Linked DNA regions of Astyanax mexicanus. The protein of the gene in region 1 interacts with the protein of each later gene in a biochemical or structural test. Links are inferred from orthologs where the notes say so. Each region holds a gene or a part of one and is shown in the gene's direction. Other genes may lie near its edges. The genes, in order: hmga1a and prmt6.

Evidence for each region.
Region 2: of the proteins of hmga1a (region 1) and prmt6, one has a biochemical effect on the other in vitro, tested with the Homo sapiens proteins (2 studies listed by BioGRID, with this or other methods). The link is inferred for Astyanax mexicanus from reciprocal best matches to the Homo sapiens genes HMGA1 and PRMT6.

What each region holds. Positions count from the first base shown.
Region 1 is NC_064420.1:49,603,196-49,611,010, reverse strand, and holds the start of hmga1a (high mobility group AT-hook 1a), read left to right. Parts: upstream 1-4,714; 5' UTR 4,715-4,856; intron 4,857-6,687; 5' UTR 6,688-6,696; coding exon 6,697-6,783; intron 6,784-7,815. UniProt on the Homo sapiens protein: HMG-I/Y bind preferentially to the minor groove of A+T rich regions in double-stranded DNA. It is suggested that these proteins could function in nucleosome phasing and in the 3'-end processing of mRNA transcripts.
Region 2 is NC_064413.1:55,037,103-55,044,534, forward strand, and holds prmt6 (protein arginine N-methyltransferase 6), read left to right. Parts: upstream 1-4,912; 5' UTR 4,913-4,976; coding exon 4,977-6,047; 3' UTR 6,048-6,926; downstream 6,927-7,432. UniProt on the Homo sapiens protein: Arginine methyltransferase that can catalyze the formation of both omega-N monomethylarginine (MMA) and asymmetrical dimethylarginine (aDMA), with a strong preference for the formation of aDMA.

The sequences.
Region 1 (7,815 bases):
TCTACATTGTAGATTAATATTAAATATATGAAAACGATTAAGGGACACATATAGAATTATGTAGTAAACAGTAAAAAAAGTGTTATTCCTCCACATTAATCCCCTGATCTAAACTTGATGAACTGAGATTTAGATGATTTGAGGTGATTTAATTGGGATGAGCTGGAGCAGCAACTATTGTTCAGCACCTCCAGGAACTCCTTCCTTCAAGATGCTGAGAAAACTATACCATGTGACTCTCCCTCATGAAGATACTGAGATTAAAATTCTTAGAAGAATTTAAAGTATAAAACAGATTCTGGTTTGTTTAAAAAAAAATTGAAAATCGAAAAATTGAAAAAAAAAAAAAAAAACACTGAATTGAATGAGAAGAAGAGGTGTGTCCAAACTTTTGACTGGTACTGTATATACTTTAAAACCAACAATTGTCCTTCATATTTTTTGTCCTTTGTATTTGTTTGCAAAAACAAACAATGAAAGCCCATTCCCTTAAAATAAAAAAAGACCCACAGGGTTCAATTTTAGGGCGTATAAAAATGAATGTTAATTATGAAATGAAGAACTGAAGTGGGGCCATCATACAGAGTTTAATGTGTTAACAAAAACCTCCAATACAAAAAGGAAACCAAAAAACTTTTTCACTTTTTGATGATATTTCTCTTACTGCTTATTGCATCCAGTATATCACTGATAAAGGGACAAAATCTATATATTTAAAATAAAAATAGATGTCCTTCACATTTTAGTACACTGTGCTACATCAATAAGAACCCTTGGGCAAGACTCCTAACACTACATTTTCCCATTTCTGTAATAGGAATAACCTTGTCGCTATGGAGCATCAGCTAAATGACCTAAAACACAATTATAATAAATGAATATATAAAAATACTTATATATATAGGATAGGTGAGTCTAAAACCAAGCAATTATATTGATATAATTTTAGTTTTTTAAGAGACAAAGTCATTCATTTGAAATACTGACAGTAAGTGGTGGTTTTGAGTACCTTTATTGATATTTTAAGATGATTAATGCTTATTTCTCTTTATTTCCTCTTTATTTTGATCTTTTCCTCTTATATTCTTAGGCACATTATGCTGTTAGACTGAATAGTAATTCAATGAACAATAAACAGATTAATATAAATGTTAAAAATACTTGGAAATAAAGTAAAAGTTTAGTTCCTGAAAGTAATAAATTGAGTGGTACAATCTTTTTGTGTGAGTAACCTTTGTGAGTTTGCTTTGCTTTACTGTTGGAACACAAACTAGTTTATTATGTTATCTGTACAGCACTGAGTGTTGAATCTGAATGGACTTTACCCCTTGAACCGTAGCTTTATGATAGGAGTTAATAATCCTTCTGCAGGAGCTTTTTTAGGACTATTAGGTAACCGTTTAGTTTAAGGTTTTATATATGGAGTTCCACAGGGTTCCGTTTTAGGGAGTATCAAATTGTTTAGAGTTATGCCAGTAGATTAAAGTTTAAAGTGTTACATAAAAAGTCTGAATCACTTTTTTTATACTCTCAGAGTGCCGAACACATCAAAAGAATAATATATGACTTAAACACAAAGCTTTATTGTGGCAGGAGCTAAAGTCTAATCATTTTACAGCATGAAACCTGTGACACTGCTATTGTTTGTTAAGAGTGTAGTAACAGTTACTAAAACAGGTACTAGTATCTTGGATAAGACTTGAGCAATAGTATGTTCTATCGAAGAATCATGTTTTTCTATACATTATTATATAGCATAATTCTAGAAGGCCCAAATTTATATTGGACTATATATAAAATTTTAATTTTGCTTATTTAACGTTTCTAAAAATCTTACGTATATATGATATTATTATGTTGCTGATTGGATCGTAAACAGCCATAGCAACTTAAGTTGAGTAGAGTATAGGGCAAGGGAATGGACGCTATGCGTAAACTCATATGTTAGGTGCAGAATTTATTTCTCTGCTATTGATCCATTAAGAAATTGTGAGGCAGTGTAAGGGACAGTTTGTGTGTTCAAATTATGTAGTAAAGGAAACATTGATTTGCCCTGTAATGTAATTTTAAGGATTCAAATGAATTATACCACTAATACAATGATAATTATAATAAATTAACTTTTGACCAACATTTGTTTCTTTTTTTTTTGCTTTTAAAAATCAGTTTATTTCCTCTTTTTGATTTTTAATGGCATTTTCCCCTCTTATATTACTTTTACTTTCATATTTAAATCAGTTTTAACATCAGTACATTTAAACTTTTACTTAAAGAGTAAAAAGCTTGAGTTGAAACTTCAACAGCTACAGAAGTATTTTATTAAACCATAGTATCTATACTTCTACCTATACAGAGTAATGAATGGGTAAATAGAGAGAAATAATAGCGATAAGTGTTTAATAGTTTTGTCATTTTAGGAATACCAACTTTTTTATACCACTGATACAATGATAATTATTTTTCTCCTTGTTATTTAATCACAGTTTATTTCCTCATTTTGATTTTTAATGGCATTTAATGGCATTTTTCCTTAAACTTCTACCTGAGTAATAAATGGAAATACTTCTCACAACTTTGGTCTATTTATTAGGAAATTGTGACACAGTGTAAGGGGCAGTATATGTGTTCACATTATGTAGCATTAGCAAACTAAAAATGTATGTAAATGTTATACAAAAATAAACTGCAAAAAAGTGTTTAATAATATTGTCATTTTTAGAATGTTTATTTCTTCTTTTTGTTTTTAATGCCATTTTTCCTTATATTACTTTTATTTTTATACTTTAATTAGTTTTTAAACCAGTACTTTTCTTTTTAATTAAAGAGTAAAAGCTTAAGTTGATGCTTTAGCTTCTTCTTCCTTTTCCTCTGACACCACTTTTATACTTTAAGTAGTTTAGTAGTAAAGCTTCAGCTTCTACCTTTGGTCCATTCATTAAGAATTTGTGACGCAGTGAAAGTTTGTGTTCAAATTATCTATCGAGCCAAAAATTAGAGAGTTCAAAAGTGTTTAACAGTATTGTAATTTTAATAAAACATTTTTATACCACTGATACAGTGATAATTATGAAAAATAAATACTTCCTTTGTGGAACTAACCTTTGACCCACTTTATTTCTTCTTTTTTTATTGCAGTTTATTTTTTATTTTATTTAATTTTCCTTGAGTAAAAACTCGAGTTGATACTTCAAATTCTACAGAAACATTTTAAAACCCTAGAATATACTAATATACTTCTACCTGAGTAATAAGTGTTTAATAGTATTGTCATACCACTGATGGTATACAATGATAACTAACTTTTGACCATCACACTGCCATCTTATTTATAAACTCCTTTATAAACTCTGATCCTAAAACGTCAATGGGCCCCTGATTGAATAAAAAAAAGGTAGATCCCTAAAAGCATTACAATTTGATTTGATTTGATTTAAGGAAAAAAAGAAATGTGTTGAAAAAAATATTAAAATATAATAATAATAATAATAATAATAATAATAATAATAATAATAATAATAATAATAATAATTTGAGAAAATCTTGTGGCGGATCTCTGGAATGTTTACTTGCCTTTGAGATAGTTGTTTATATGTTGTTGTTTTTCCTGCTTTCATTCTTTTTCGGTTTATCACTGTAACTCTTTTAAACTTCAATAAAAAAGAAAAAAAAACTTTTCACAAACACAATTTACCATTTTTTTGGGAGAGAGGCCTAAATTTTGAAAATAAATAAATGTAATAAAAAAATCACTGTGAAAAAGGTGGAAAAAGTACTGAAAAATTCTAATTAAGTAAAAGTACCTTCACTTTGCTAAAAATAAAAGTAAAAGTAAAAGTACCCATCTAAAAATCTACTCGAGTAAAAGTAAAAAAAATAATCAATTTAAAATGTACTTTGAGTAAAAGTTACATAGTTACTTTTATTTATTTGATGTAAAAAAAATCAACAAATCATAAATTAAATAAATATTAAATTAAATAATTTGGACCAGTATTCGTTCAGACCACCCTACAAAACATTTTCAAGAACAAGTGGCATAGGTTTCTATGATCCATTTTTTTCTTTACTTGTTAAAAAGTTATGGTCATATAGGTGACTATTAACTGTATTTTTATAGATTTACAGTTCATTATTATTTGTTTAACTTTTCATTGCTATGCTTTAACTGTTTTTAAAATGATTTACATGTTTTGTTTTGTTTTTAACATCCAAGCAGATTAATGTTTAATGTTCCCAATAAAAACTTCAGGAATTATTATGAAAAACATAAAAAAATACAAAAAACCAAACAAAAATGTTGGTCGACGCATGCGCAGTGCCGTAAAGAAGCACATATTGATGGGAAAACTTTTTTTTTTAAATTCAGACAATTTGTTTTTTTTTTTTCCCCAGCATTTTATTTTTTACTCAGTTTAACGGGGAGAGTTTTCCAATGTAGCGAAGTAAATTACTTGTGTCAAAATGTACTTGAGTAAAAGAACTACTTTAAAAATGACAAATTACTCATAAAATCTACTCAATTACAGTAATGTGAGTAAATGAGTAAATGTAATAAGTTACTTTCCACTTCTGAATTGTCTTAACTCTGAAAATACACCCTTATATTATGTAATATTGAATAATATTGTGTAAATGATGTTAAGGTGATCTTTTGTGTATAGTCCCCTGCTTAATTACCATATATAACCCCGCCCACCTCGCTGTGGCCCGTGAGGAAGCCTGTTTAAAATGCCCTGAGAGACAGCCGGGCCTTCAGCAGCGCCTCACTCCCGCACACCGGGCTCACCGCTCAGCACGCACCCAGCCTGGGACTGCCCTCAGCCTTCTCACCGCCGCACTGCTTAGCTCCAGACCAGGTACTTCCTTTATTTACTCATTTAAACTTCCTAAATTCTGCTTTATCTCCTGTTCACAACCTTATTTTACCCTTTTATATTCTGATTTACTATCCATATAAAGCACAGGGGGGGTTTAACCAGGTTAACTCGTGCTTTAAAAAAATGCGACCGTTCTTTACAGCGACTTTAGCGGCGATTATCTGCTTTATTTCAGCTCCTTCTTCGAGTTTGAGTCGAGGTACGCGTTGTAAAACGTGTTAACAATTTTTCTGATGCGTGATTCATTGTGAATTTGCAGTAAATTCGCTGTAAATCCGTCTAAAATCGAGTGTATTTACGTGCAGGGCTAGCTAGTTTGGCGCTAGCTTAGCACCACGCATGCTCAGTAGCTTCATAACGAGCTATAGCTAAAGCCTTTAGTGTGTGGCTCGTGCTTCATTGTTCAATGCAACGTGCTGCTGCTGCTAATACAAAAAACCGCCTTTGGCACGGTGTTAAAGCACGATTAAAGCACTTAAACCAGCTTTTTAAGTCGATTCGAGCGCGATTAAATTAATTTAATCGATTAATCGTGCTGCATTCGCACGTTCTTCCAAAAAAGCAACAAAAAACAGGGTGGTTTAGGGTGCCTTTTGTTGTTTGTGCGCCACCGTGTTTTTGGCGCTCAAATGCATGCAATCTGGCGCCAGTCTGGGCTTATGCATACATGCATGCTTGCATTCACGCACGCCTATGCACTAACTAAAGCATTTGCATGTATTTACTTATTTTTGTTCTCGTGCATGCTTTTAATTTTTTATTTTATTATAATATTTCATAATGCACGCCTGCTTATTTATTCTGTCTGTGTAGTGATATAAATACATGCATATGTTGTAATTTCGCTTTATTTTTGTGCTGTTGGAGCCACGCGGGCATCCGTAGCGAGTAAACTGCTTTTTTTTGGATTCTGGAATTGGCTAAGGCTGTAGCTAACTTGTGCTTAAAATGGGGATGTTATCAGCTTTATTCCAGCAATGGTAGCTCTCGAGATTAACACGAGATAATAAGGGCTTTGAAGCACGTAAGATAAGGTATTATCGATGCATGGTTCATTGAGAATTTTGTAGTTATGTAGCCAGCTATAGTGCGTGCATTTTTATTTTTTTCAAGTTTAAGCATTTTAAATATGTGTATAGAAGTTGTAGCCTGCTTATTCTTTAGCTTTTGTGTCGAGTTAAGAGTTTGAAGCACGTGAAGCACTCTTCATTGATGCACGATAAACTTATTTTTGGAGTGTATGTAGTTTAAGCTATTTTTATTAGTTCCTTTCTTTTTAAATTCATGCAAATGTTGTGCTTTCAATTTCAATGCTGTTGCAGCCACAGGGGTATCTGTAGCTAGTAATCAGCATTGCCTCGATTTAGCCAGCTAGTGTGAGCTAACTTGTTTTAAAACGTGTAGACTAGATTATACAGGCTTTTGTTTTGCTTTAACACTATTAGTGTAGTATACTATAGCATAGTATGAATTAAATTGAGATTTGAAGGGTTTTGATGCATGCGAAAAATAAATAATTTTATTGATGCATGATTTGTTATACATTAAATATGTGTAGGTAGCTACTTACATGCATGCACAAATTGTGATTTTTTTTTTTTATTATTATTTATTTTGCTTTTGCATCTAGTAATCAGACTGCTCACTTTGGGAGAAGTTGCATAAACAAGAGATTTTGCTTGCCAGCTATTTAAATTTCTTTCCTTGGTTTAGGGTTCTAGACTGCAGTGTGCATGCAGTTTTAAAGCTGCAGGACTAAAAAACTGAAGGTGTGCATGCATTGATTTCTTCTTATTTCTCTTTCCCAAAGTAAGTCAACATGAGTGACGCCAAGGACGCCATGTCTCCTAAAGATAAGGATGGAGCAGAGAAGAGAGGCCGTGGAAGACCAAGGAAGCACCCACAGGTAATGTGCAGTAATGCAAGATACTTAATTCTAGATAACTAAGTGTGGTACAAGCGTATGCAAAAAAGGAAATTCTCACAAAATAACAGTAGTTATTAATAACATTTTATAATGCTAAATTTGATGTAGAATGATGCTTATGCCAAACAAGTTAAAGTATTACAATTCTTGGTATCCAAATGTGAATTAAACAGACGTTAAACAGATTATACTACCTACTTGATTAAAAGTTGGGGCACGAGGTAAACCAGTAAAACCTACATGCTCTGCAAATGCTGAGGTTTTGAGCTAATGCACAGAGTGTTCTTCACAATAGGTGTCATTGCATGTGAGGAAATGGCATGACTCATTTCCTTTTTACTGGTAAGAATCAATACTAAACAATATGGCAAAAAAGTAAGTACTTCAACTTACTTTTTAAAGTACACACAATTCATAGCAGCTCGTACTTGAATGAATACAGTGAAATATATGAAATTGTCGTATCTTGTAGTAAAAGGACATTCAGTAGAATGCACAAAGCATTTTTAGGTTTTAACTTTTAGAGTTGCACTGATCTTAAAATGATATAGTTTATTTCTATACAAAATAAACTGTTTTAAAACCAGCAAGCATCACCTGTAAACATGTGCTGGACTAAATAGAGAAAGATATAGTGACACATATGTAACAGGCTGCAGTACTACATTTACAGCACTAGGGCTCCTGTAGTTTTATAAATACTCAGTAATTTGTGTATTTAATGCATGAGTCATTAAAATGAGTAATCTTGTGTAATCAATTACATTTTATTAAAAAGGGTTTTAACAAGGTCCTTAAATTCTTAAATTGTTTTACCTACAGCAAATTTACAGTAAATGTGTTACATTTTAGGCGGTGCATTTAATGCACAAAGTTAATGATTATGTTTTTGTGTTTATTATTATATATTTTTTTATCAGACATTACTTTTAAAGATATGGCCATCTCTACAATTTAATTTATCCCTTTTTTTTACGAAAGAGCTCATGCAACTTACATTAGTTATGTTGA
Region 2 (7,432 bases), on another chromosome or scaffold:
TATATATATATATATATATATATATATATATATATATATATATATAATCCTTTAAATAACCTTATAATCCGGTGCTTCTTAAGTATGAATTCTACCAGTCAGGTATTAAGCACCGAGACTGGAGTAGCATTAGCATTAGCTGCTAACCACAGAGCTAAGCGTTAGCTCTTTTGCCATTCAGAGGTAAGTATTATCAGCCTGTAGCCTGTTGCTAACCCCGGCTAGCACTGCTGGGGCAGCATTAGCATAAGACACTAACCATGCTAAGCGCTAGCTCTTTAGCTGTTCAGAGGTGAGTATTACATGCCTGTGGCCTGCTGCCAACCACTGCTGGGGCAGCATTAGCATTAGCCACTAACTTCACTAAGTGCTAGCTACAGTCAGAGGTGAGTATTATTGGGCTGTAGCCTGCTGCTAACCCTGGTTAGCACTGCTGGAGAATTATTAGCATTAGCTGCTAACTTCACTAAGTGCTAGCTACAGTCAGAGGTGAGTATTGTTGGCCTGTAGCCTGCTGCTAACCCCGGCTAGCACTGCTGGGGCAGCATTAGCCGCTAACTTCACTAAGCACTAGCTCTTTAGCTGTTCGTAAGTAAGTATTATTAGCCTGTAGCCTGCTGCTAACCATGGCAAGCACTGCTGAAGCAGCATTAGCATTAGCCGCTAACTTCACTAAGCGCTATCTCTTTTGCCATTCAGAGGTGAGTATATCGTACTGTAGTCTGCTCTGTGTTTACTGTGTTAAAACAAGCTACATGCTATGATCCACTAGCTAATATATTGCCCTGCTTACCTGAACACTCAGGGTCCTCAATGTAGCTCTGTCAGGTGGCATTTGCTAGCTCTAACAATGGCTAGTGCTAGCAGTTAGCCACTAATGCTAAAGCTGCTGCACCCAGCCTCAATGGAAATCTGGAAATCTAATCTTACTGTAAATAAACGGAAGCGCTTTATTCACCCAAATAAACAGTTTTCAGGAGGGAAATCTGTGTAGATTAACTTCCAGTGCTTGTTCGTAGCTGGGTCAGATCAAAACCAGATTGTTTTATTCCACACCCAAGTGCAATTCCTGTGTTCACACCTGCTCAATCGAACCGCACTAAGAGTACAAACCAATCAGAGTCCGTTTTAACTGGACAAAATAGTGCTGGTGTAAACAAAACACGCTACTGTATAGAAAAAATGATAGAATGTATTGAACTTCACAGTGTAAAATCTGTAATAAATTATACTTTGTAGTAAAAACTTTGTATTCCATTTTTTTATTATTTTGACAGTCTGCCAGATGCAGTGTGCTAAACCTGAGTGCTGCTGCCGCTTTTGTTGTTCTGCTGTTCAGCCAATTAAATGTGATGTTTTAATTTGTTGTTTTCATTTAGTGGAAGTCGTTCCTTGGCTTGTTAATCGTGTCTAATTCCTTTATTTGATTCAATAAACTGAACAAACACAGAATACTGCACCTACAGAACTGCTGCCAACAGTCTAATCAAATACGTCCAGCAGTGTAGCGTCTTCAGGAGGACGTCCCCTTCCCTCAGTCTGTTACATAACAGGCCTGTCCTCTCTGTAGCTCTGTAGTGACTGTGTTACTGAGTGTCCTCAGACCGTGTTGAGACACTGGAGACAGTAATGCATACTGTATCAGAGGAGCCGTGGAGCAGTCTTTACTCTCTGATACTGATTGAAGTGCTGGGAGCACCGTGTCAACATCAACCCGTGAATTAGTATTCATGGCCCGACCCACCTCGGCTCGGACCGCCCACAGGCAGAGCTGAAGCCGGGCAGCGACGCCGTCTCGTCAGATAGGAGCTAAATAACAGCGCTAGGAACAGCATGCAGTTCATTCCTGTGTTATTTGTGCGAATAACACATCAGTGTTTATATACTTTACCCAGTAATTCAGAGCTAAGAAACAAATGGTTAGAATTAGTCTATGGAGGAAAAACACCACCAGCCAATTACAATTGAGATAAGTAGGTGTTTGTTTAGAACAGTTCTGTTTACACTAGTTAAGGGTGGATTTTTACTTTCTGGACCTGGACTACCCACCTCTGTGTGTGAGTATCTATAGGTTTAAATAGGATCTCCGGTGGATTTGGTGTTTTACAGAGACTAAGACTAGGTCAGTATAGGCTGAACTGCACTTAGCAGGGCATTATTACACATGTTGTAAAAGTAACATATGCCACTGTAAAGACTGTTATTAGTGTAAAAATGTCTTTATTTTAAAACATTTCTAACTGGTGTTTGTCTCACTGCCTCCTGGTGAATATTCATGAGCAAGACCCGAAATCCTATCGTGTATATCGTAAATACGATCAGATATCTTAATTCTATTGATATTTGCATCTCGTTTTAATCATGTCTCATTATTTCATAATCATATATCATAATCATTTAATGATGTCTTAGTGTAGTTATTCTTTAAAACATATTTAAACATATATTATCTTATTATCTTAGTAATAAGAGTAAAATAAAAAATAATAAAGTAAAATAAAGTAAAATAAAATGAATAATCTGTATATTAGTGTGCAGCAACTTAATTCATTCCGTTAATTTAAGTGACTTTAAATGATTTGACTTAACAGTGATTAACTACCTAATTTAAGCACTAATATTTTTTTTTTCATTTTTTAGAATAAAGAACTATAAAACACTACATGTGGAATGTGGTAAAGACGTTTTTTGTAAAGAAGCTCATCTCCTAAAATGAGTTCTGTGGCATTTCAGACACTACAACTCCCATAATGCACTGCACCAAGCAAGGAAACAGTGGGAAACAACCCGCCCACAATGTCTGTAATTTTCTAAACACTAATATAAATCATGTGTTCTTTTATACCAGGGGTATTTAATTAGAATTCAGTTTGGTCCAGTTAGAGAAAATCTCATCAGGCCAAGGTCCGGACCGTCACCATTTTTAACTTGTGTTATAATTCAGTGTTTTATTCTGTTTACTGAAGAAGCCTATAGTAGTTCTGTCAGTGTTTTATCAACAACTGAAAGACAAAACAAATTACACATACTATTCAGTATATTTGAACAATATGTATTGTTTTAAACAGGCCTATCACAATAATTACATTATCAGCCTATCATAAAATAAATGGAAACACCCTCAATAATTTAACATATCAAGTCTAATAATGTGAATCTGTATTTTGACTTTGTTTCAAAATGTTATATTTATTCTATTTGATTTTATTTATATTAGATTCAGGCCTGCCTGTCATGATAATAGTTACATGAATGATAAATCGTACAATATATGGAGAAATGTTTGCTGAACCAGAATATCAGCTTTTTAAAAATCCTTCTCAGTAGTTTATTTTGGATTTGGGTCCGGATTGGACAACGTCTGGGTCCGGACCCGGAGCGCGGTCCACCTATTAGTGACCTCTGTTTTATACTGTCATTTTTTAGCGTTTTTATTTTTGTAGTTTTGTAGTTTAATGACTTAATGTGCTGTTATTGTTATTGTAAATATTGCTGGTCCCCCATATTTACTGAAATGTTTTTGTTTGTGAGACACGTTTTTAAACAAGTGGGGAAAAATAAGTATTATTTTTTTTTACATTTTCATACAGTTTCACAATTATTTTATAACTGTATGAACATATTTATTTTCTTCATCAGTGTATTGTTTTTTTGTCGTTCAGATTAAAAACTACACAATTTTAGGAAATGTAGTCTTTTGTATAGAAGCTTATCTTCACATGTTCGTTCTGTGGAGTTTAAGACACTACAACTCCCATAGTGCACTGCGCAAGACGGCGCTTCTTACTCGCTCAAAGAGGAAACGGTGGGAAAGTGGGGGAGGGGCAAGGGAACAACAAAACACCGCAAAACACCGCAAAACCCCGCCCACTGTTTCTATAGCAACATAAAAACAGGAGGAGATCGTTTTAATAACATCTTCTTATCTTTAAATTATAAATGATCTGTGCTTTTTTATACTGCTCGTTATTTTAGCGTCTGTCTGTAGATTTTGTCTGAATAGGCTGTTATATGGACATAAAAAATTATAATAATATTAATCTAAACAGCTATATATTTATAAAATACTGTCGGATTTATAGGCTTTGATTTGTAGTTTATGTCTGAATAGGTTATAATTATTGTTGTTGCTGCTCTTTTTACTACTTCTACTACTGTTCAAATACTGAAAATAAATGTATTGCATTTTATGTGAGATACATAAAAAATAATAAAATAATATTTAATATATCTATATTTATATTTATTAAATACTGTTCGATTTTAGGCTTTGTTTTGTAGTTTCATGTTTAAATTACTGTTGTTGTAATTGCTGCAATTATTTTTGTATATAATAAATATTACTACTATTTTTACAACTACTACTACTGCTAAAATACTGAAAATAAATATATGGACATGTATTTCTTTATATGTGAGAAACATTAAAAATATAATAATAATAATAATAATAATAATAATAATAATAATAATAATAATAATAATAATAACAATAATAATATTAATAATATACATCTATATGTATTTTTAGTAAATACTGTTCATCTTTAGGCTTTTGTTTTTGTAGTTTCATGTTTGAATATGTTACCATAGTTGTAAATATTGCTGCTGTTTTTTCTACTAAGACTATCCCATATATTACCATACTAAAAATAAATATATATATGGATATGTGAGATATATATAAAATATAATAAAATAAAATATTTTTTTTCCATTTTATACAATTTCATAATTATTTCACAAATGAAATTTAACAAATATGTTTTTCTTTATTTATTTATTTGGTTGTTTCGATTAAAAACTGCTAAATACAAATAAAAAAAGAGTATAAAAAAGGTAAAAAAGTACGAGATCTAAAAAAAAAAAACTACCACCCCCACAATGCACCGCGGAGGGGGAACCACGGAAACACGGAAGCAGCGCGCGCGGTGTGCTCGGCGCTGTGCACGCGCGCGAGGAGCGGAGATAGGAAGATGTCCCACAGCGCGGCGAAGAAGCGCCGACAAGATAACAACAGCAGCGGCGGCGGGAGCGCGCAGGACAGCCTGTACTTCCAGAGCTACGCGGATGTCAGCATCCACGAGGAGATGCTCGCGGACACGGTCCGCACGGACACGTACCGGCGCGCGATCTTCCGCTGCGCCGCGGCGCTCGCGGGGAAGGCGGTGCTGGACGTGGGCGCGGGGACCGGCGTGCTCAGCGTATTCTGCGCGCAGGCCGGCGCGCGCCGGGTGTACGCGGTGGAGGCTAGCTCTATAGCCGAGCAGGCCGCGCGCATCGTGCGTCAGAACCGCGTGGAGGACCGCGTGCAGGTGATCCGCGGCACCGTGGAGAGCGTGGAGCTTCCGGAACGCGTGGACGTCATCGTGAGTGAGTGGATGGGATACGCGCTGCTGCATGAATCAATGCTGAACTCGGTAATCACCGCGCGCGACCGCTGGCTGAAGCCTGGGGGGCTAATTCTGCCTGAGAGGGCGGAGCTATTTGTAGCGCCAATCAGCGACCTGGTAGCAGAAGAGCGTTTGAACTTCTGGGACACGGTGAAGGGACAGTATGGGGTGGACATGTCCTGCATGGCCGAATTCGCCCGGTCCTGCGTCCTTAATGGCGAAATCGCAGTGCATCCTGTGACGGTGGAGGACGTGCTGTCGCACCCGTGTCGCTTCGCCCAGCTGGACTTGCGTACGGTCACTCTGGAGGAACTGAAGAGAGTGAGCGGGTCTTTCTGTTGTCAGTGCTTCGGCTCGTCCAGCCTGAACGCCTTGTGCGTCTGGTTCACCGTCACGTTTCCCGCGGAGGACATGCCGCCGCTGGTGTTGTCCACGTCGCCGTTCAAAGCGGAGACGCACTGGAAGCAGGCCGTGCTGTACCTGGATGAACCGGTGGACGTGAGGCAGGACACGAAGGTGGAGGGGAACATTAGCATGTACCCTTCTGAGAAGAGTTCTAGATATGTGTGCATCCATGTGGACTACACTGTTGGGGAGCACAAGCTGAAGTCCAAGACTTTCTCCATACCTGATGGACATTCTGAGGATACCTGATGGACATTTGGAGGATACCTGATGGACACTCTGAGAATCAACAGTAGTAGTAGTAGGAAAGTTTGTGGTGTTGCTCTTCAAGTTGGTTCTCAACCCTGGTTCTGGAGTATACCTTGATTATACATGAAATAAACACAATAAAAAGAGTAGGGGTGGTTAATATGGCACTAAAATAATATCACAAAATTTTATGGTATTTTCGCGATAACGATACTCTTGGCGATGTGACTATACACTATAATAAAAAATCAAGTATACACTACTGCAACAGAATCAAAAATAAATGTTATTATTGCATTTGATATGATATGGCACACTCCTAACTGAGATATTTAAAAAAAAAACTACAGTATTTACAGTAACTGAAGTCAATAATTCAGAATATTACGATACTACTGATAACGCACTCCATATGCAAATATCTCCATATATTCAGAATTACAGTAAAATTAATGATACTGAACAGATATAATCTAAAGTCTCTAGTAGATATATAATATAATGGGAAATGAGAACAGTGTGATTTTTTTTCTTTTGATAAAAACAGTAAAAAAAAAAAAAAAAAAAAGTAGTACCCTGATCTGATGATAATTATATATATTTATATAATATCGTTGGCGATATTATTGCGTACGATATGGCACACTCCTAGCTAGATAGAGAGTTATAATCCCTATCTAGGCACTGGTATACTCTAGGACCATGGTTGAGAACCAATGATATTGGAGAATTATGGGAGGGGGGAGGGGTTTGGGAAGTTCTTCTCTGGTCAATGAATGAATGAATGAATGAATGAATGAAGTATTAAACGAAAAGCTTGTTAACAAAAAAAAAACACATTGCAGACTGTAATAAAATCCACCCATGTCTTTATACACACCCTGCTTAACCTCGTTTATATTATAGACCCACAGGCCTTTAACTTCCATTTAAACAACGTTTGGTTCCACAAAATAATATAAAATATCAGTCAAAAGTTTGGACACACCTTTAATATTTGTTTAATTGATTTTCTACATTGTAGATTAAGAGTAAAGACATGAAGATGATTAAGGAACACATGGAATTAGGTAGTAAACAGTAAAAAAATATATATGTATTAGTCCTTCACATTAATCCCCTGAACTCCTATAAAAATCATACAAACAGAAAATAGAAAACACAGAATGAGAAGAGGTGTGTCCAAACTTTTGACTGGTACTGTAGATTTATAAATTTGGGGAAATTTATCTGTTTTTCCTACATATCTCTATTACAAACATGGTTCTGTTTGGAATCAAATGTGGTGTTTCTATGAAAAACACTTGAAACACCATTATTTTATCTGTATTATGGTCATTGTTGGTTCAGAGGCTTCACAGAAGTACTGAATACAAAACTAGAAT